Linked DNA regions of Drosophila melanogaster. The protein of the gene in region 4 interacts with the protein of the main gene of each other region in a pairwise test. Each region holds a gene or a part of one and is shown on either strand. Other genes may lie near its edges. The genes, in order: dmrt99B, CG11771, Cdc6 and FoxL1.

Region 1 (6,768 bases), on a different chromosome or scaffold from region 4:
CGCCAGCGCTGCTCAACTAATTTGCATATTTGGTCGCAGTAAAAACACTTTATAAGTGGCCACCCAGGGCAGCAGCCTGCGTGTGTTTGTGTGTAGATGTGAGTGTGTGTACATAGGCGCACTTTAAACAAAGTTAAAATGCGAGAAATTGGCCCTGCGCAAAACACCAGTAGCTCCACGGTAACAGCAGCAGCAGCAGCTTCTGGCCATTTACTGTTGCCAACAACTGTGACCTGCCCAAAAAGACGATGCCAGCGGAACTGGAACTGCCCCCTATTTCCCAGTGTGTGTGTGCGTGTGTGTGTGTGTAGAGGTCCTTAGGCAACTCGCACACAAGCACACGCGCGCAAACACCGACACAGACAGACTGGAAACTTGTTTCTTTTGGTCAACTTGTACAACATTGTTGCCGCTTTATGTTCTTCTATTTCTACAGCGTGTGCGTGAGTCCTATGGCTCCTCCTCTTTTCGTGGGCGGAGTCTCCGCGCGAGAGAGCGAACATCTCTCGGAGAAACGAAGAACGTCAGAGAGAGAGAGAGAGAGGCGCGCGCAGCTGCCTCTTTCGCAGACGCGGCTGTCTCGCTCGCTCAGCACGAGTGCTCAGTTTGTTTCAATTGCAATTATTTTGTAACATTCCAATAGGCCAATAGACCCAACCCACTGGCCAAAAAAAAGTTAAAAATTACCTAACGAAAACTCTCATTCCGACGCAGCGGGATATGCGGCACATTATGTAAAGGACTCTTTATGTAAAATGGGTTTTGTTCTTTTAAATAGATTAAAGTAGCAAATTGATATCACATTGTATATCCTTTTAAACGCTATAAAAGTTAATATACGTTATGATTTTCTGTTAAATACCTATCTTTATGGTTTGTTTCTTGTTTAACATATCATCTCATGTCTATACTTTTATGCAGCTGTAAATAAGTAATTATTATGCCTCTGTTTGTCAATTTTGTTCATGGAGATTTCAACACTTGAGACATTTGAACAGCGGCAGCTGGAAATGAAAAGCAAGTGGCGATGTGCCACAACCTAAGGTAGAAACTTTAGTTTTTCAAAAACAGGGGCCTGGGAATTTTAGATATCCCCCCAAAACCCCTCGAAAAGCAACAACTGCGCTGCCAACTGTGTCAGTTGAGTGTGTTTGTATGTGTGTGTGTGTGTGTTGGCCATGCCAACCAGCGGCGAGGTCGCAACAACAACGCTTTTGGTTGGCTATTCCATTAGCCCAAAAGCCGAGAGCCCCAAGCGCTCACGCACACAGCAAGCCGCTGAGCAGTTGAGCAGCTGAAGAGCGGCATAAAAAATAATTGTGAAACAAAGGCAACAAAGAAAATGAAAGAAACCCCAAACAACCACCAGAACAGCACCACACCACCGAAGCACCACCACCACCACCACCACCACCACTACCATGGCAATTCCCTTTGAGAACCAACCAGTGCGGAGTGCTCTCCCGCCACATTACTCATACGCCGCGTCGCCGCCTCGAGTGCACAATTTTGTATACAGTACCAAATTAGATTTGAAACTTTTTTCTTAATTGCCAACCCTCCGCCGTCGCAGCCGGCGTCGCCGTTGGCGCAGGCAGCGACGCCGACGCAGGCAGCTGCGGCGCACAAAGGTGGTTGCAACACTCTCGGAATCGGGGATATATCCCCTATATCCAGTTTGCATGTACATGCCCACGAGCGTATCCGCGCACTTTCAACCCTCGTCAGCCGCTTTTGTATTGGTAAATGTTGCCGCTTGCCGCCATTGCTGAACGTCCGACGTCGAGCGTCGTGCGCTGCGGCCTTTTGGCCAAAAGTTGAATCAGTTGCAATCGAGGGCTCACTGTGTCATGTCGTTAGCGCGCGTGGATTGAATTCGAGAACTATGCGGATATAAATAGTTAAACAATAAAACAATCAAACTACAAGCTAACAACAAACAATTAAATACTAATCAAATAAGCTAAAGTGAAGTGTGTGCTCAGAAGTTTTTGACCTAACAACTAAATCCACATCGAGGTTTCTGATCTTCACGTCGAAATGAGTCTACCGTCGGGTGTGGACATGCAGAATCTGATGTCCCAGCATCCGGTCTTGGGAGCACTGCCACCTGCTTTCTTCTTGCGAGCCGCCTCGGAACGCTACCAAAGGACGCCCAAGTGCGCCCGCTGCAGGAACCACGGAGTGGTAGGTCCCTCGGTCATATACCATCCGGCATCTGGAGATTTTCTTTACCCACTGGATCCCCTTTCCATTTCGAACCTTTTGCAGGTCAGCGCCTTGAAGGGACACAAACGCTACTGCCGCTGGCGGGATTGCGTCTGCGCCAAATGCACTCTAATCGCGGAACGCCAAAGGGTTATGGCTGCTCAGGTGGGTTTCTACTTTAATATAGAAGGAATTACGTGGAAAGAATTGGAATAAATGTTATAGAATGAAGAAGATTGCTGAATTCATCTATATAGTTCAGTTAAAGAGAACCTATGTATGCTTAAAAGCAGGTTTTTTTTTATAGTATAGCATGGAAATCAAGTACTACTTCAAAATTGCAAAACTCCTCTGTTGACTTCAGTTAAAAATCATAGTAATATTAATGCATCTCCCTGTTACACGCCACTGATCAAAGATCCGCTTTCCGCCCATGCCCTCCTTGTTGCAGGTGGCCCTTCGACGCCAACAGGCCCAAGAAGAGAACGAGGCCCGCGAGCTGGGCCTGCTCTACACTTCGGTTCCTGGCCAGCAGAATGGCAGCGACAGTGCTACGCCCACTCCGCACAGCCCCAACCACAGCGGCAGCGGCGGCTCGGGCAGCGGAGGATCGGGCCAGAACGGCGTCTTCCACGGCGGGATTCCCTCGCCACCCAGCGACGGCTTCGAGGCCAGCTCCACTCCCAATCATCACCAGCAGTCGCAGCAGCAGCAGCAGGCGCACCACCAACAGCACCTTAGCCACCCACACCAGCAGTCCCAGCGGTTCAATGGCAATGAATCCGACACGGATGGACGCACCCGTTCCGAGCACCTCAGCGTCGGTTTCTCGCCCACCAGAACCGAGCTGGATGAGAGTCCTGGTGAGTGAAGTAAAGAATACTGCACACAGCTAACACCGGGAGAATATGTGACTGTGTGACTTGGGAAATGAAGTAACATCAAATATCACAGCACATATCTTATAAATTGAGATCTATTCTAAAACCAAGAAAACAGTTTTCCTTGAAGTTCTTCAAATGTTTACTGCTTATGAAATAGCATTACTTCCATTACACTCCATTTCGAAGGACACACTGACTTATTTTGCGCAGTGCAGCCGCTTAAGAAGCCATTCACGCCTGGCCATCTCAAGAAGAGGTCTTGAGAGTCTTGGGGGAGGGCAGGTTAAAAGCGCGTTAAGAAAAATTTGTTTTCGATTGTTCAGAAATCAGCGGTGCATAAAGTGCCACACTCGCGGTTGCATGTGCATTTGGCTGCGTGTATGCAAGTGGCGAAGTGGTGCTAGTGAGCGGGGCATAGGTGTTGTTTTGACAAAGACTTAGCCAGCCAAGCTGCAGTCGTGCACTTTGCCAAGCGGCGCGTGAAAAGGTCCTGGGGTTGCAGCCAGGCCAGGACATCAAGGGGCGCAAATTGCAACAATCGAGTTAAAGTCCTCGTTAGGAGGAAAACACTTGATTTAACGTGGTGCTCATTTCAGGGAAGGTTTTAAAGGCAAATAACTTGAAATTTCCGACAAAAATGTTCCATTACATCATATAATATCAAATGGCAAACTCTGAAATGCTGGTCGTCTCAAAACACTTGTGTGCTAGAATTTTACTCTTTTTCCCACAAAAAAACCCTCTCAATAGCTGAACAATAAAAGTTATTGTAACATTATCCAACATTATTTGTTATTATCCGAAATAAGCCAATCAATTCCAACCAGATCATCTCAGATTGCCCTGCCATCGCAACTCAAACCACTGGCCCATTAAACGCCAAACAGTTGCAAGTCTGTCGAGAATTTGAAAGGACCTTCGACCCCGCCTGCTTATTAGGACTATCGGCTGTGCAGATGGGGGTTATTACCCATAAGGTAACCCCATGCCAAGGGTTCTGGCAGGCCAGAAACGTGAGATACCCCCCCTGACTCAGCTCACTTGTCTTTATTTGTTTGCCCTTTCGGAGGAAGTGGTTTTTTCCAGCTCGAGAAAGAAAAACACAGCAGGATTCTCACGCGAATCAATCGGGAAAACCTGTCTATTTAAGTACCGGACTCTATTATTTGCCATGAAATCCAAGACGATTTCACGCTTGAATTTTTATTTTCGACTAAAGAGTGCGGCATTCGAGTTGGGTATTGGTATCCACGCACCCTCGACTTAATTAAATTTTTACTGCGGCTTCGTCAACTGCAAAATTAAACAGACTCGCACAAAAATATCATATAGCTTGTTTCATTTGTGGAAAAAAACAGCAGGTTGTCCCTCGTTGGCATGTCAACATCGCATCCTGAACTCCCTGCTCCTTCCACCGCCTTTGTTTGCGATGCCCCTGATTAAATTCCTTCCCATCTCTACACTTGATACTTTTATTTGCTCTAAGCTGCCAAGTGGAAACTGTGCGGTTTTCCACTGGCTACCTGAATCGCTTCGTCGATGGAAATCGATACCTGCGATTTTGGGAAAAACAATTGCTCAATAGGAAGTACACACTCTCGTAGGAGAACTATTACAAGATACTACTCTTAATGCATTTACATATCAACTGGCGACTAATCTGTATATACCTTCATTGTATTCCTTGCTTGCAGTGTCCAAGCGCGGAGCAGCCCTGTCGAACGAGACCGACCAGGACACGGGCTCCGAGTCCGGATCGCCGAGTAGTCCCCGGCCCAAGGTCGCCGGACTGTTCAATCTGACCGCCAGCTTGTCGCCCGCCCGCACTGGACCGCCCAGCTCGCCGGAATCGGATCTGGACGTGGATTCGGCGCCGGATGAGGCCACGCCGGAGAATCTCAGTCTCAAGAAGGAGGACAGCCAGTCGCCGCCCAACACGCCCGCCGAGAATCTTCATCTGCTGCGATCCTTCAGCAGCAGTCATGCCCAGGGCTTCCTGCCATATCACCACACGCAGTTCCTGGCCGCCGCCGGCCTGCCCGCCCACCACCACCCAGCGGCACACTCGCCGCACCACCAGCAGCAGCAACAGCAGCAGCAGCAGCAGCAGAACCACCTGCCACAGCACCACCAGCAACAGCAGCAGCAGCAGCAACAGCAGCAGAGATCGCCCATCGACGTCCTGATGAGGGTGTTCCCCAACCGACGGCGCAGCGATGTGGAGCAGCTGATGCAGCGGTTCCGTGGCGACGTGCTCCAGGCCATGGAGTGCATGCTGGCTGGCGAGGATTTGGGACAGACTCCGCCGCAGGTGCCGCCATCGCCGCCCTTTCCCATGAAGTCCGCCTTCTCCCCGCTGGTGCCGCCCTCGGTTTTCGGCTCCCCCACCCATCGCTACCATCCCTTCATGCAGGCGCACGCCAAGCGATTCCTGACTGCTCCCTACGCCGGAACCGGCTACCTTCCGGGAGTGCTCAGTGCGGCGGATATCGAGCAATCCGAGTCCAACGGAGCGGGCGGCATAGGGTTGGATCGCACCAGCAATGCTGGCGACTCCCAGGATTGAGGCATCGAGGTGGAGGCCAGCGGCGCATCCGTCTTCAGGCCTTTCGAATAAGGTTCCCACCCCTGCTACACTGCGGAAAAATGTGAACACTTTACGAGTCAAGAACACAATTCTTAACTTCAATGAGTTTTAGAGCTCTCGTTTGTTTTTATAATATTTTCAGTCAGCTGAAACCATAGAAGTTTTTCATTGCAGAAAGAACTTTCTTGATTTTTGAGCAACTGTTTCTCGCAGTGCACGTCCCGCAACTAAGTGTAAATTACATTTGCCCTCGACTCTTAGCACAAGTATTGTAACATAGAGACCGTATAAGTAAATAATACGTTTAATGAATTAAAACTTAAGAAAAACCATACACTCGATCCCAGTTATAAGAAGTATTTGTTTAGCTGAAATTAACATTATGACGATGATGAGATTATTGTGTAAGCGATTGTTGATTGCAACCAACTAATTGAGATATCCGTGTGTACCATATGAATATGAGCATATATATAATTATATTAAACATCATATTATGTCTTAGATAAAGTACATTTCAAACACTGTGTTAAAGTATTTAATAAATCTACAAATAATTCAATAAAATAATGAAGAAATTAATTCGATGCTATTTTTTTGTCGGGGAATATTGGTGTTTTTTTTTCCTACATGCATAGATAGATAGATAAGATACATCTTCAGTCTGCAAATGTACTGATGAATGTGCTGAATAGCCCAATTATAGTGTAATTATTTTGATGAATGCATAATGCATTCCAATTAAATCGTTTGGGCCTACGCTAAATGCCTGACTAATCAGATCAATAAATAAGGATATTTAATACAAAACTTCCATTGTTCGGAAATCCCTTAGTCCGGGTCATAGCTGGGTAAATAAACAATTTTCACAGCACGTAATGTATATTCGTGAGAAGTCGACCGGATAACAATGGGCCGCCCACAAGCACCCCAAAGAAATTGAAATACAAATAGGAAACTACTGCGATTATAGAGGCCACCCACGATTCGAAATTCAAAATTCCCAACTGGTCATCACGCGATGGCCAAATAATAATGCGAAGCGTTAATCCGTATCATCATTATCTATTTGCCACTATTTTGAGGGCA
Region 2 (5,086 bases), on a different chromosome or scaffold from region 4:
GGCTGTCCGGACATATACTAGACAGCAGTAGCCAACGGAGCAGCCAAGGGAGCAACTGCAGCCACTACCACACATAGCAGCCTTAGCGAATATTCTAAAGTTTTCAGATATCCAGCCTCCACACACAACTAACACACCACAGCGGGACACGCTCCGACTGATTTCGGAGCAGCACATACGCATATTGTAGTACCACACTTTGATCTAGAGCATATTTATATATATATATATATATAAATTAATTCCTGTAAACTAACCAAGTTTAATCCATACCCCTGCGTCGAAATGTACTTTGATTATTTCTTCCTGACTACCGGTTAACCATTTCTAGTGGCTTTCCAACAGAAGGCCAAGACAGATGATAGCTCTTAATCCTCGGTTTCCATCCAAACCCCTAGATGTCTTTTTCCTTTCCGCTGAATGCATACTTCGCCTTTGTTGTGTATATAAATATATCGAACCGAATCGAGAGAACCGAGCAAGAAGCGAGAGAATATGTTAAATGTTATAAATTTATGCAATTTATTATTAAAGTATTATTTAAATAAAGCAACAACGTGTGTGTGTATGTGTGTTCAACTGGGGTAACTGACGATGTCGCCTGGCGACACCACCTGCACACCTGCGATAAGATCCCGCCTGACTCACGCGATCGCTATCACATCCGGCTGCCAATTAGGGTGTAGATCGAATTGCCGACTAATAAATCGTGGAGGCGTAAAGTATAGAATTCTTGTTTTAATAGTTACACTTCCAAAATTTATAAAGCCCTTATCAATCGTTTTTGGTTTTCAGTTTCCTGGCTGGGGTCATTCAATTACGGCTATACTTTCTTTTAAATAAGTACAAGTGGGATCTTGACCAATAAACAAATATTTAACAGAATACATTTCAAAACTATTTTAAAATATTTTCCAATACTCCAATGCTTACTTTCCTATAAGGTTGCCACTCGTCGGGCCTCCACAGGCTGCCATCGATCAGCATTTGTTGACTACACACAATAGATAACGTTTTAGCGGAACAGAGGGCGACCCTCAGTTGTTATCTGTGGTCTGGGAGGGTTCAAATATGTCCAGCGACTTTAGAAGTGCCTCGGCCGACGGGTCGCGACCCTGGAAGCGACGGAACACTTCCGCCGTGGGCACAGATCCGCCGCAGCTGAGGAAGGTCTGCTTGTAGCGCCGGCCAACGACCGCGTAGTTCTCTTCGCTTCGCTGCTCAGCAAAGCTGCTCGAAATGTCGGCGGCTATGAGGCGGGAATACAAGTGACTGAACTGGGCGGCCGCCCAATCTCCGGCAAAAATGTCGGTCAGGGAGCACGGATGTGCGTCCTTCTTGTCCAGCGGCATGCATTGATAAACCGGCCACAGCTTGCGAACCACCTCCAGCCAGAAGGCATTCGAGCGGTGCAGCTCCACGTCGAGATCCGCCAGGTAGAGGTCCTGGCACAGATTATAGCCAGCCAACTGAGTCTTCAGCAATCGCATCTTCTGTGAAAGCTCAGCCTCCAAGGGCTCACCGCTGCTAAAGTGTCCGGATAGGCTTCGAATCACTGTGGGATCGTCGAGGAAGTTGCTCATCACATGACCGGACACTTGAGAGGCATCCCACTCGATGTTTGAGAGTCCCGCCAAATCGCTGTACCCCGCTTGGGTGAGCAGGTGTTGGAGTCCGCTTCCAAAAGTCTTGAAGAGCATCTGCAGATCATCGTATCCAAGAAGCGGGGGCTTGGCATCCGGACTTTGTGGCTCCGAAAAGTTAAATATCAGCGCACAGAGAGGCGTCAGCCCGGCAGACTTATTGCTGTTCCGTATGCCCACCATCCAACCATTGTTTCTGCCGAACTTGTGCTCCTTGGAATAGCAGTCCACATAAAAGCCACCCACCGGGGTGGAGCTATTGACGGAATCAGCATCGAACACATCGTAGAACTTAACTGCCGGATGCCACACCTCCGCATTGGGCTGCTCAACTATTTTGATGCCGAAGAGCTTTTCACTCAGCGCAAACAAGCCGGAAAGAACGCGGGGCAGTGGGAAAAACTCGCGGAGCTTCTGATCTTGGAGACCGTGCTCCGCCGCCAGTTGCTTGCGCCGCCAGTAGGCAACGTCGTAGGCTTCCAGCTTGTATTCACAGCCACTGTCCTGAGCGAAGCCCTGTAGTTTCTCCAGCTCCACACTTTGAGCAGGGCCGGCGAACTTGAGAAGCTTGGCAAAGATCTGCTTAAGGTTGTCCACACTGCCCACCATTTTGGTCTGCATGGACATGTCTGCAAAGCTTTCATAGCCCAACAGATTTGCCTGTCGCTTGCGCAAACCGCGTATTTTTTCGATGTGTGTGCTGTTCTCCAGGGATTTTTCCTGCTGCGAGGATGCCTTCAGCACACTGGCCCTCCAGACGTTCCAACGCTGCATTCGCTCTGGGCAGTGCTTTAGAAAACCATCGACCACTTGAGGCTGTAGGGTTATCTTCCAAGGACCCGTCATAGGTTGTCCGGGATCGCGGGCTGTTGCCTCAAGAAGCGAAGGCGGGAAATCTCTTACAAGATTGAAGTCCGTAATAATCTGTCCAAACGAGTGCACTGCCATGTTGACCTTGTTCTTGAAGTTGGCTCTCTCTCGACCCAAATGGGTAAGCAGCTCTTTCAGTCCATCCTGCTTATCTTTGTCCAGCGTGAGCCCGTTCAGCTTGCCCTCGAGCAGGAACTTCTGTCGCATCCTCTGCTCATCTGGACCCGAATCGGACGAAGCATCCTTGAGTGCCTTATACACCGTTTGATTGCAGAACTTCGCTGCCCGAGCGTTACGCGCTCGTTCGTGGATGTTCATGTAGGATTTGGTGGGTATCAGGGTAGAATTGCCCAGGTACAGAGCCTTGGCCACACCCCATGTCGTCTCCAGTGGACCCGTCACGGTGTCCAGCTCCCGAAAGATGCTGGCGGCATTTAGCTGCTTGCCACTGTGCAGGTCGCTCTCCAGCGCCTTCACCGAGTTCTCCACCGCCGATGCCTGCTGACCAATGGCGCCCAAGCACATCTCGATGGTGATGTCACTGAAGGCGGGAAGTCCGTCCGGCTTGAGCACGCCCTCGCCTAGCGGTCCCTCCTCACCGATCTCCGGTACCCTGCGGGGATAGGTTTAGTGACTCCACATGTTGAATCCGGGTAATTTTCGTACTTACAGCACTATGTAACCCGGCCGGTTTTCCGTTGAGTGCAGCGGAGCGCTAAGCGCGGCCCGGATGAGGGGCACCGACGTTGGGCGCCTTCGTAGGAGATTTAGCATGTCCTAGGTGAAGTCGTTAATCCAGATATGTACAATTCCGGACAGTTTGCGCCGGAATTTGGGATTCTGAAATGGGGGCCAGCGTTTACACAACACGCCTGGACCAAAAAGCAAGTGACAGCGGCCAGGGTTGCCACCATCAGCGGTGGAGCCGGCAGTGATGCGAAAATCACACTTTACTGCAGTCACTGAATCCAATCTATCCTAATCTGTGACTTCTCTTTTTTTTTTTTTTTTTTTTTTTAATTTTTATTATTTATTGAATCTTCCCTTTGTGTTAAGAGACTAACAATAAGTGTTCAAATCTTAATCTAACTTAATTAACTTTCACTTAGTGATAGTTTTTTTTTTTTCATTAATGCCCTAATAAGTTTATTGCTGGGCTGGGAGGTCGTTGCGGTGCAGCCGGCTTTGACTGCATACTCGGATTAGTTTTCTTGCGAGGGGATTTGTATGGGTGGTCAGCTTTTCGTTATACTTCGTTTTTTTCTCAGCTATTACTTCGATTACTAATTTGATTTTTAGGTCTCTGTGTATGTTTTCGTTCCGAAGGTACCACGGCGCTCCAGTGATAATTCTCAGAATTCTTGACTGTGCTCGCTGAATAATGTCTATGTTACTTCTGGATGCGTTGCCCCACAGCTCGGAGCCATAAGTCCAGATAGGTTTTAAGACGGAGTTGTATAGAAGAGCTTTGAACTCCAGACTAAGTGGAGAGCGAGCATTTATGAGCCAGTGGAGGTTCCTTGCTTTAAGTTTAAGATGTTTCGATTTGGCTTCTATATGTTTGCGCCAAGTGAGCCGCCTGTCCAGATGAACTCCCAGATATGTTACCTCGTCGGCTTGTGGAATGCATATGTTATTCAAGACCAGTGGTGGGCATGTTTGTTTGTTTAAGGTAAAGGTAACCTGCTTGCATTTTTGAACATTTATTGAAATTCTCCAGTCGGCAAGCCATCGTTCTACAGATGTTAAGTGTCGGGATAGGAGTGCCGTGGCTTTTATTGGGCATTTCGAGCGACTGAGTATCGCGGTATCATCAGCGAACGTGGAGGTTGTTAGATTGTAGTCTATGGGGAAATCCGCCGTATACAGGGTGTATAAGATTGGACCCAGTACACTGCCTTGCGGCACTCCAGCTTCGATTGCGCAATCGCGTGAAGTGCTTGTATCGCATCTTATTGCAAACACTCTGTTATATAGGTATGACTTCAGTAGCTTATGTGTGTTTTGGGGCAACAGCTTGATTATTTTAAACAAAAGTCCATCGAGCCACACTCTGTCAAATGCCTGCGCGACGTCTAGAAAAATGGCTGTGCAGTATTCTCGATGTTCAAAAGCAGTACGAATTTCTGACGTGATTCGGTTGACCTGTTCGATGGTTCCATGTTTTTCTCTAAAGCCAAATTGATGTGTTGGAAGTGTGTTGTTTATTCTAAGATGAGGGCTAATCCGAAGGAGTAGCATTTTTTCAAACAGCTTTGAAAGACATGTTAGTAAGCTTATCGGTCTATATGATGATGGCTGCGTTTTATCTTTTCCTGGCTTTGGAATCATTACTATGGTCGACTTTTTCCATTTTTGAGGGAAGTATCCAAGCTTGGCGATTGCGTTGAACAACAGGCAGATGTGAAGAATAGCACACTTTGGGAGTTCAATGAGCATTCTTGGAGTTATTAGGTCGTAGCCAGGCGATTTTCTTGGGTTCAGTTGCTCTTTGATAACCTTTGCTAGTTCACATGGTCGGAATTCAAAGGGTTCTTGAGGATCTAGATTGGCTGCTATTAAAGGAGGGAGAA
Region 3 (5,009 bases), 4.6 Mb from region 4:
GACCTGTATGTTTTTCGAGGTTTTTCGCCTTACTGCTCCCTCAGAAATATATGTATTTTTGAGGAATAGGAATATAGAACGCCATATACCTATAGATACATTCATGCATATATCTAGCTGGCCTCTCTGCATATAGCTTATTATTCAAACATTTGTTCGCCTTTCGTCAATACGCGTCGAAAGGCAACCAGAGTTTTTGAAACATATTTTTCATTGCGCTCTGGTTGTGTCGGTGGTGCTCAATGTAATTCATACCACTCAAATGGGGATATTTTTAGAGCAGAGAGCGCAGGAAGAACAACAATAAGCCAGCAAATAAATAAACAAAATGATTATAGAACAAATTAATTTCATGTCGAGATGGCCAACAAAAGCCCACACAAATTCAGAAGCACTGGTGTTAATTTGACTGGTATGTTCTGAAAACGCCTCAGAAAACAATGGCAACAGACTTTCCCTAAGATTTTCACAACTTTTGGCACGACCCAAGATTCAAACTTGCGGCGCAGCGAAAGTGGAAAACGTTTTCACTTTTGCGTTTTATGTATTGCGGAACTATCTAGTTTATTCTTATTTGCTTAGGGCTAACAGGAAGGGGATTCTCTATAACTTATTGGTCAACGGATCGGATTAGAAATAGATTATGGGCGCAACATTTACTTAGATTTATGACACACACAAAGTCTAAAAGAATCGATTCAATTAATAGTCAGAAAATAGCAGAAAATGTCGAAAGTGACCGTCAAATGATATTTCAAAATATTTCAGTGCTTGCGCCAGCCACGAATTTTAAAATTAGCGTCAAAAAGTATTCCTATACATATACGTTCGTCCCCAAGGTGAATGAAAATGAGAAAAATGCGCAATTAACCAGCGGTTTGTCGGGCACACTCATTTCCTAGAGGTAATCGTCCAGATCGTCACTTGCTCAGGCAGGCGGTATCGCTGAGGATCGAGGCGATCAGCTGCTTGTCGCTCAGTGCCGCATGCACCTCCTCCTCGTCCCACTGCAGCAGAACCTTGTGCAGGCGCGGCTCCTTTTTGCGCATGATTCGCAGAATGCCTCGGGTCTCGACCAGATCCACAGTCCCAGTGAACTCCGCTTGGTCCAGGGCCAGGATGTTGCGTTTGGCGCACACTCTCCTGTAGACCTCGTGCAGGCGACCCATACTGATGTCTTTGTTGCGCTCGTTGCGCAGCATCAGCACCAGGGTGCACAGCATTAGCTTTTGCTGCAGCGGAAATGATGCCTCGATGTCCTCCTCCAGATTCTGTGAGGCACCGTAGACCTTGTTCAGCACTGCAGCCACTTGGGTGACCTGAACAGGCTTTAGAGTGTCTGAAATAGTCAAGATAGGATTTCTTTTTAACACATTCTATAAATTTATCTTTATATACTAAAGAAACGAAGGTTTACCTTGCTTTTCCTTGGCCTCCACCGCATCCTTGCCCTCCAGCTGCAGGGCCTTCATATTGAACTCCTTTTCGCCATCGCGCTTCTGCTGCTCTGCTATCTCGACCACTCGTCGTCCAATGTCCAGGGCCCTTCGCACATCTCCACTGATCGCACTCACCTTGGCGGCCAGCAGCTGCAGGGTCACGGGTGGAAAGACGTCCAGCACTTCCGCCTCAGCCAGACGCGACTTGAATATCTCCACGATCTGCTGCTTGGAGTAGGGCGGGAAGTGCATCAGTCTGGGCTTCAGCTCGCACCTTGCATTCAGTCGCATCAGCGCACGATCTGTGAGATCCAAACTATTGGCAATGCCCACGAGCAGTATCCTGGAGCCGGGAAGAGCTGGCCACTCGAAGATCGTGTACAACACCTCCTGCCTGCTGGTGCAGAGCTGATCAATCTCGTCCAGCACCAGCAGAAGCATTCGCTTTGCTGTCTTTAGGTGACGCTGAATGGCCTCCAAGTGATCTCTCTCTGTGCGACCGCTGACTTTGAGCTGCAGTTCGGTGCATAGTTTCTTGTAAACTGCTCCTACACTTGCTATGCTGGTGCAGTTAATGTACACACGTTGCAGACGCTTGGAGAAGTCGGGATCTCTCAGCAGTAGCGATAGGCAGGCGGTCTTGCCTGTTCCTGGCTGACCGGAGACATAGAGGCTGCCGGAAGTCTGGCTTTCCAGGTGATTGCTGAAGAATTCACGTAGCTCTTGGAGCTGGGACTCACGTCCTGGCAAGTTTTGTGTCTCGGCGCTGTTGAGCACTCGTCTGGCGTTTTGGTATTTGTTGCGTGAGGGAGATGGCAGGTTATTCTGTTGGGTTTCCTCATTGGTTTGGATATTGCTTTTTTCTTTAGTTTGGTTTTTATTCGGCTGCTTTGTTGGAGGTTTCTCCTGCTGCTTTTGCGCTAATGGATCCTCCTGCTGTTTTGGCCGAGGCTTTGCCTCGTCCTTGGCTTGATGTTTCGGCTGCTGCTCAGCCGTTTCAGTCTTGTGTGTGGTCGCCTCCACCTCTTCCTCCTGGCGCTCGTCGATGCTGAGTCTGTCCAGCAGCCGCGAAGGACTGATCAGGTGCTGTGGCAGTGGCTGCAACTTCCTCTGCTTCGGCGGCGATCCATGAAGCGGGTCCACCTCCGAATCCTGTTCGCCCTCCAAGAATCTAGCGGTGGCCTCACGGTTTTCCTCCTCACGTTTGGCCCGTGAACTGCCAGCTGATTGGACTGTTTTCTTTGTGCTGCGTGGCGTCTTTGGCAGCTCCGATTGAGCCACCTGCACTTGCGATGTCCTGCGCCTGGAGATCTTGTCCATTTTGTTGAGCACGTTGCGGTTCTCGTTGTTCTCTGAAACGGGGCTGGTCAGGTCATAGATCGCCGTCACCACCTCCTCCTCCTCGTCGCTATCGGCAAGCACTTTTTTCGGCTGCCTGCGTTTCCAAACTTCCGAGCGACGCGGCGTCTGCGTCGACGGCGGCAGCGGAGAGGCGGCGGTCGCTTTGCTGATGCTACTAAGGCGCGTGGAGCGGCGTACGGCAGCCATTCTTTAGCTTAGTTTATTGATCAGCAGTTAGTTACTATTAAATACGAGTTAAATAAGCCACAGCGTGCGTTACAATTTTCAGCTGGCAGTCACAGTTAAAAAAGCGCGCAAATTGAGTTTGCCATTCGCCACGAGCAACAGCTGATCAAGCCTGGTCTGGTCATCTGGCAGCTCTAGCCCAGAGCTGCCTATTGTCGATCGCCTATCGATTAGGCGCGCATAGTTACAACATTTCAAACAGCAGTCCGCCTATATTGAATTACTTACATACTCGCGTGTGGACGGCCTGGTAAAAATAAAATGGTCCGCGGCAGATAGAAAACACAAATCGCTGGACGTTGAACACGCTTACGTAAGCGCCTAAAAATATTTCCCCTGGCTATGGGATATTTTTAAAGTATATAAACGGGCGCACATAAAATGGAATTTAGATATAGCGAAAAAAATTATGCACACACACGCTCGAAGGAGAAATACGTAGCACAGTGGGCAAAGATCTGGTGATTTCTAGAAACTCTTTTAATCTCTGTCTGATTTATTTATATTATCATTTGCCGCAACGGCTGGTCGGCCAAATGTGTGCCCCATTTCGGCGTAAACAAAGTCGTTAATCTTCACCGATCCGCTTTCCAGCCCTACCGTACAACTCCGCTGGTCCTGCCCGGCGCCAAAGTGAAGAAGGATGCGCCCACGACAGAGTCCTACTTGAGGCACTACCCCAACCCGGCTGTGCGCGCCCACCCAGGACACGACTACCATGACAGTATCATGAAGCAGCGCGTGGCCGACACCATGCTGCACAAGGTGGTCGGTTCGGAAGCCGACACTGGCCGCGTAAGTACAGGGGACTTCTTAAAGTCACACCCACATAATGGAAAATTACAAAAACTAGAGTTTTCTACATTTAAAATTGATATTTTCAATGTTAACATTTCGAATTCGTGACCTGTAGTCTTTGTTCTAATCCTGTTACGAAATTGATTGTATTTAATTTAAGTGTAAGTTGTAATGGGTTTTACTTACATTTGTGTACATATATCCCCCGATTTTAGGTCTTCCACAAGCAATTCAACTCGCCCATTGGCCTGTACTCCAACAACAACATCGAGGACACCATCAGATCCACAGTTCCGTAAGTTGTCACCCAGAAATGTACCATCTGGAAACTCCTATGCTTAGCTCGATACAATGAAAAAAAAAAAACACTAATATATGAACTTTTGGAATTCGCTTGTCAAATTGAACTTATAAGCCTATGAATTACGCTACATATTCTTTGGATTTTGCAATTTACGAATAAACCTGCGTAGAGTTCTTCGAAATTTTTGATGCAGCTTTTCTTTTTGCCAGAGAGACAGAGAGAGCCACTCGAAATGCGCCAAGTAGCTTGAAAACTAATAAAACGAGTCACGAACACACGGTTACGAGTAGCCTAAGGTCCACATAACCCGAAAAATTGGTTCCTGGTTAAGCTGCGGCCATAATCCACTAACCCAAAAGCCACAAAATCAAAGTCGAAACGAAATTTACTAAACCGATGCACACACGAAATGAGAAACACACACAATTCGAACATACGATTGAACACGAAAACCAGTCCATAGATGTTGTACGTACTACTTACTACTGCCTACTGCCGGATCTCTGTTTTACATGCATTTATATACATTTACATATATAAATATACCACTCTCTATATATCCTATATATATTCTATGTATATTGTTGTAGCTTCGCCACAAGCGAAAGCAATCGCTTGAAGGACAGTCCTTTGCATCGTCCTTTGCCAACAAAACTTAACGGGTAAAAGTAAATTCATATCTTGAGCACAGCCTGATTTCGTTCTTTGATTGAATCCTTTCACTTTCACTTTCACTTTGATATGGAAAGCACAATGAGCAAGAACGTGGAATTGTACCTGAACTTGCCTTGAGACAAATTAAATTGAATATGAGGAATGTTTGCCAAGTTTCCCGTGTTTTCCCCTGCCTGTCTGTACAGACTAACCCTCGATTATTGTTG
Region 4 (4,635 bases):
CTCAGTGGCACCCCGATGGGCGTCACTGTGCCCCGGATTACCGCATATGGTATCTTCTTGTCGCGCTGCCGCTCCACCACCGATTTTAGGTCTCCATCGATGTTGTATTGTGGTGCCGCCTGAAAAGCAGCAGTTCACTCAATAAACGCCACTTATTACGTGCATTAGTATTTCTATACGCACCTTCAGCACCTTGGCAGTTCGCTTGTAGTGCACGTACTCGCGCGCACACAGGCCAAGTATTAGCAGATCCACGCCCAGTGCAACGGATTCGTGTAAAAATTCCATTTTGTGTTATGCTATTTTATTTATATTACGCTACAAAAACATATGTTTACTCAGTGTTGCTGTGTTTCCCGCTGCTCGTAACGGCTACAAATACTAAATATTCACCCTGTTGAATGGAACTAGTTCAACGTATTAGTATATGCCATAGAGTGCAGGGTCACTCTAAAATACTACTTTCATATTTGAAATTTACCGCCAAAAAGAAGTTAGCTTAATTCAATTCAATTCTCAATTTGCAATTAGAAAACGGCCAATGCAAACCAATCTATATTTTAAAACTCCATCACTTTTATGTATTTTATGCAAGAATATTTATCACTAAATTAAGATAATTAAGCCAAAAGAGGTGCATTGCTTATGGCTTGCCAATGATATTGTCGATGGTAAACAGCGTGGTCTTTGATCGGTTGCTGCTGGCCACTGGACTGCTCCCAGGTGCATCCACCACATCCTTGATGCCATTAAAAGCTTCGGCAAGGACAGGTGCACCCGATGACGAGGTTTCCCGTCGATTGAGAGGAGGAGTAAAGGCGCTCGGCGAATGTAGCTCCTCGTGCAGTTCCATGGAACTTTGCATTGCTTTGCTGGAACTGGACGAGGCGTCCACATCGTCTGGGCATTCCCTGATCTCGGGCAGTGGTCGGAGTCCGCGGGCCTCGTTGTTGAACAGACTGTTGAAGCCCAGGGATACGGACAAGTACTGCCTGTGCAGATCCGTAATCCTGTCGGAGTAATTGGGCCGCTCGTTGCAGAAGATATCGAAGTCACTCAGCGGTTCGCTGGGCGAGCGAATCTCTGCTGCACTACTGTTGCCATCATTTGAATCCTGCAGATAAATTCATTTATTCGATTTGTTTATGAGTTTTTAGATGTGCATTATACCTTTCCCGATTCCCTCTCGTAGCGATTTGGATGGCCACAGTGCCTCTGCCTGCGCGTTCTCCTCCGGCGGTAGTTTCCCTGTTCGAACATGTCCGATGCCGATGAGTCCAGCATCCAGTAGCTTCCCTTCCCAGCACTGTCGTTATCCTCGATTGTGTTCTTGTCCCGCGGAATCTTCACGAAGCAGTCGTTGAGGGACAGATTGTGGCGAATGGAGTTCTGCCAGCCCTGCTTGTTCTCCCTGTAATATGGGAATCTAAAAAATAATTGGATATTATCCAATTAATTAATTAATTAGGAGCTATATTTCCTTGACATTTTTATCAAATTTTGAAAGGGTAAACATATATACTTTATTTTCAATAAATTAACAATGGAAAAGATATTTTATAAATATAAATCGAATGCGTGTTTATCAAAACTATTTACTTCAGAATTTCACAGCTTTGAATATCTGAATTTGTATATATAAAAATCATTTTACAATCTGAAAAACTTGCTGTTGATACACATCTTATTAGCCCATATCTATATCCTCCGCTGGTTTGTTTAAATCAAGCGATTTGAAAAAGCAATAAAAATAATATTTGTTTATGTTGATAAAGAAATCGGAAATATTTAGTTTACAAACACATTGTTCATTTTCCTGTTTTTCAAATTACTTGCGATCTATTTTATATATCTGGCCGCCATTTTTTATGCACTCTGTTCATTCAGGAAAGGAAATATATACATATATATTTTAATATTTGTTAAAGATATGACTAATAAATTTAAGCCAATAAATGAAACCATTTCATATGGATAATTACCAAGTAATCTGCGTGATATTTATATATTTTCACATTAAGAAATTGGATTAATGCTCCATATTTCACCGACTTAATCCCAGTTGTGGCAAAAGTTTCGTGATAAAAACTTCTTCTCGGGATAAAAACTTCTTTGGTTTGTACAGATACTTGGAATGTGGCGGTTGTTTATTTTGGCATTTGATTTAGCCAAGAATGTCATCTAAATTTTCCTCGATTTAAGACAAGGCGGAACATTTATTTTTGTAGGATTGTAAAAACAAGAGCTTTAGTAGAATATATGTACAGAAATTGGAAATTTTATTTGCTGATTTACAAACTAAATTCACTTATTGATCTATCAAAGATCTCGTATTTTTGTATTGTTCAATTAACTTACTTATCCATGATAAACTTGTAGATTCCACTGAGGGTCAGTCGCTGGTTGGGTGCACTGCTGATGGCCATGGCGATGAGGGCAATGTAGGAGAAAGGAGGCTTTTCCGGTCGATGGGAGTTGTGCAGAAAGGATATAGGCAATCCCCAGATGTTGTTGTGCAGGGCCAGAAAGCTATCGATGCCCTGGTAGTAGAAGGCCGGTGAAAACGATCCGCACATCAGACCCTCCATGCCCGCACCTCCGACGGCACTTGGAGCCAGCGGATTGGGTGACACCTGGGTCCTGAGATAATCCGGATTCGCTAGCATGGAGTTGACCAGCTCCTCATTATCCGGCAGCATCGATCCATTGGCATAGCAAGAGGGTAACATTTTTCAAAACGAAATCCCAGTAACTTGATTCAAAGTTCTTTTATACTCTTTATGTATCTTTCGGGAACTTTGTTTCGAATATCACTTCACATTAACTTGTTAGATATTTAGGATTTTTGTCCTGTTTTCCGGTTAGCTGTTACTTCCGATTTTGTGGGCGATTCGAGCGCGACTGTGGACCATGTGTTGCGTCAGCCAAGAAGTCCGATCGACTAATGAATGAACTCGGATACGCAGATCACTTGTAATGCCTCATCCCAATCTTATGGGTGTGTGTTTTTGGGGGAGAGCAGCGCATTGGTCTATAAATATAGGGATATGCAAACACCCTCACCAAAAGATCCACACATGCGTAAGTTCTCAGAGAGGGGAAAACAATTTTCCTTGAAAAATTTAAATTTTATTAAGGAAGAAATTGAATAAATTGAAATATGAAATAAGTATAATATATTTGAGATTATTATGTTATAATATAATAAGATGATGTTGTTAATATTTAAGTGTATTCAGTTATTAACTTTGTAGTACTAGATTTAGATTGATTATATCATTACTAATTAATATCCTTGCTTATACTATATCTTTTTCGCATATACCCGTTATATGGCAGATCTCTCTTTTGAGGGGGCGTTCCTACAAATATGTTCTCTACTCTTTCCATGTTTATTTATGTCCATTCTCATTTGCCTGTATTTTCCTCGATGGGCGGAGTCAAGACCTTTTCCCCATGTGTGAGTGAGTGTGGGAGAGTCCCAGTGTGTTTTGAATAATATGTAGATTTTGATTTTTCAACAAATGAAAATCGAGCAAAGTTTACACTTGAATTACGGGCACTTGAAAGGGAATTTTTAAATCTTTGGAAATAATGTAAAGCTTCTAGGATCTCATGCGTACATCGTTAGTCCCAGTTATTAAAAAAGATTATACTGCAGTATTATGATAGGTTACATATGTATGTATGTAATCATTGCGTGAGTTAGTCACTAATTTAGCCTTTTTCTGGCTTGAAAAAGTTCATTTAGATGTTTAATCATTTTATAACTTTCAAATCTCTTGATAGCACTCACTAAAGAGCTTTGATAACTCGTCAGTTCAATTGGTTTGTAAACATTATTTAAATAAAGCGATTCCAAGAAGCACTCCGTTTATACATTCCACCGGATAGCAGCTGGCAAGATAATGCCAGAAGTCGGCATTATCTGGTCCCTTGACATCCCATGCTATCTCGTGGCAGTTGCCTTCCGATTTTTACGACTTTTCCGAGCGAACGAAGGAAAGCGAGAGTAAACTCGCGGCAGTCAAGTACGCAATTTTCCGAATGCAACCGAAAGTCTTGGTCTATATCTTAAAAGGTCGTAAAACAATTGTGTATACATTTCAAACAGGACTACGCTCGATTTTTACGATCGTTCCGTTCTCAAGTAGAAAGCAGAGATCATTTGAAAGAAATAAAAACATTGAACGCAAATCGAAGAACTGAAAATCCAAAATGCCCGAAGCAATTGAAGTTCACATGTGTGGATGATGCCAATGCCACAAAGGATTCTTCACGCTCTCTCCCGATTTATTCAAATTTTACGATCGCTTACCGCTGGTGAGAATGGGTCATAAAACAATGGGTTATCCTATGGCCCATGGTCCTCCGATTCTCTCGAAGATGTCGCTGCCCTGCGTGTTTAGCTTGCTTATTTTTAGACCTATGCTGGGAATAGTATTGGAAACAAATATTGTTTTTTATGGCCCAGCTCGGTTTGGTCTGATTTCGTCTTCGAACACCGATCGATGTTTTTCGTTGTGAAACTATGTTTTCCTATGCATTTCACCGCATCTTTTTTGACATATCCCTCGCACTAAGCCATAAAACGCCTCGGATCCTGTTTATTTAGTCGCAGCGCAGCTCCCCAAC

What was found.
Region 1: the proteins of FoxL1 (region 4) and dmrt99B interact in a two-hybrid assay, tested with the Drosophila melanogaster proteins (one large-scale study listed by BioGRID).
Region 2: the proteins of FoxL1 (region 4) and CG11771 interact in a two-hybrid assay, tested with the Drosophila melanogaster proteins (one large-scale study listed by BioGRID).
Region 3: the proteins of FoxL1 (region 4) and Cdc6 interact in a two-hybrid assay, tested with the Drosophila melanogaster proteins (one large-scale study listed by BioGRID).

The regions. Positions count from the first base shown.
Region 1 is NT_033777.3:29,690,767-29,697,534, forward strand, and holds dmrt99B (doublesex-Mab related 99B), read left to right. Parts: upstream 1-1,824; 5' UTR 1,825-2,040; coding exon 2,041-2,187; intron 2,188-2,271; coding exon 2,272-2,373; intron 2,374-2,659; coding exon 2,660-3,071; intron 3,072-4,786; coding exon 4,787-5,658; 3' UTR 5,659-6,259; downstream 6,260-6,768.
Region 2 is NT_033777.3:24,930,334-24,935,419, reverse strand, and holds CG11771 (uncharacterized protein), read right to left. Parts: upstream 3,411-5,086; 5' UTR 3,288-3,410; coding exon 3,184-3,287; intron 3,127-3,183; coding exon 1,038-3,126; 3' UTR 501-1,037; downstream 1-500. Other genes in the region: Osbp (oxysterol binding protein), read left to right, coding at 1-21.
Region 3 is NT_037436.4:8,630,963-8,635,971, forward strand, and holds Cdc6 (cell division cycle 6), read right to left. Parts: upstream 3,108-5,009; 5' UTR 2,988-3,107; coding exon 1,418-2,987; intron 1,340-1,417; coding exon 921-1,339; 3' UTR 547-920; downstream 1-546. Other genes in the region: Zasp66 (Z band alternatively spliced PDZ-motif protein 66), read left to right, coding at 3,621-3,821, 4,040-4,119, 4,719-4,790.
Region 4 is NT_037436.4:4,017,188-4,021,822, reverse strand, and holds FoxL1 (forkhead box L1), read right to left. Parts: upstream 2,946-4,635; 5' UTR 2,730-2,945; coding exon 2,359-2,729; intron 1,427-2,358; coding exon 1,171-1,426; intron 1,115-1,170; coding exon 644-1,114; 3' UTR 544-643; downstream 1-543. Other genes in the region: Mul1 (mitochondrial E3 ubiquitin protein ligase 1), read right to left, coding at 1-119, 184-288. UniProt on the Drosophila melanogaster protein: Transcription factor. Coordinates the placement and migration of various organs during embryogenesis, including the salivary glands, hemocytes, germ cells and Malpighian tubules.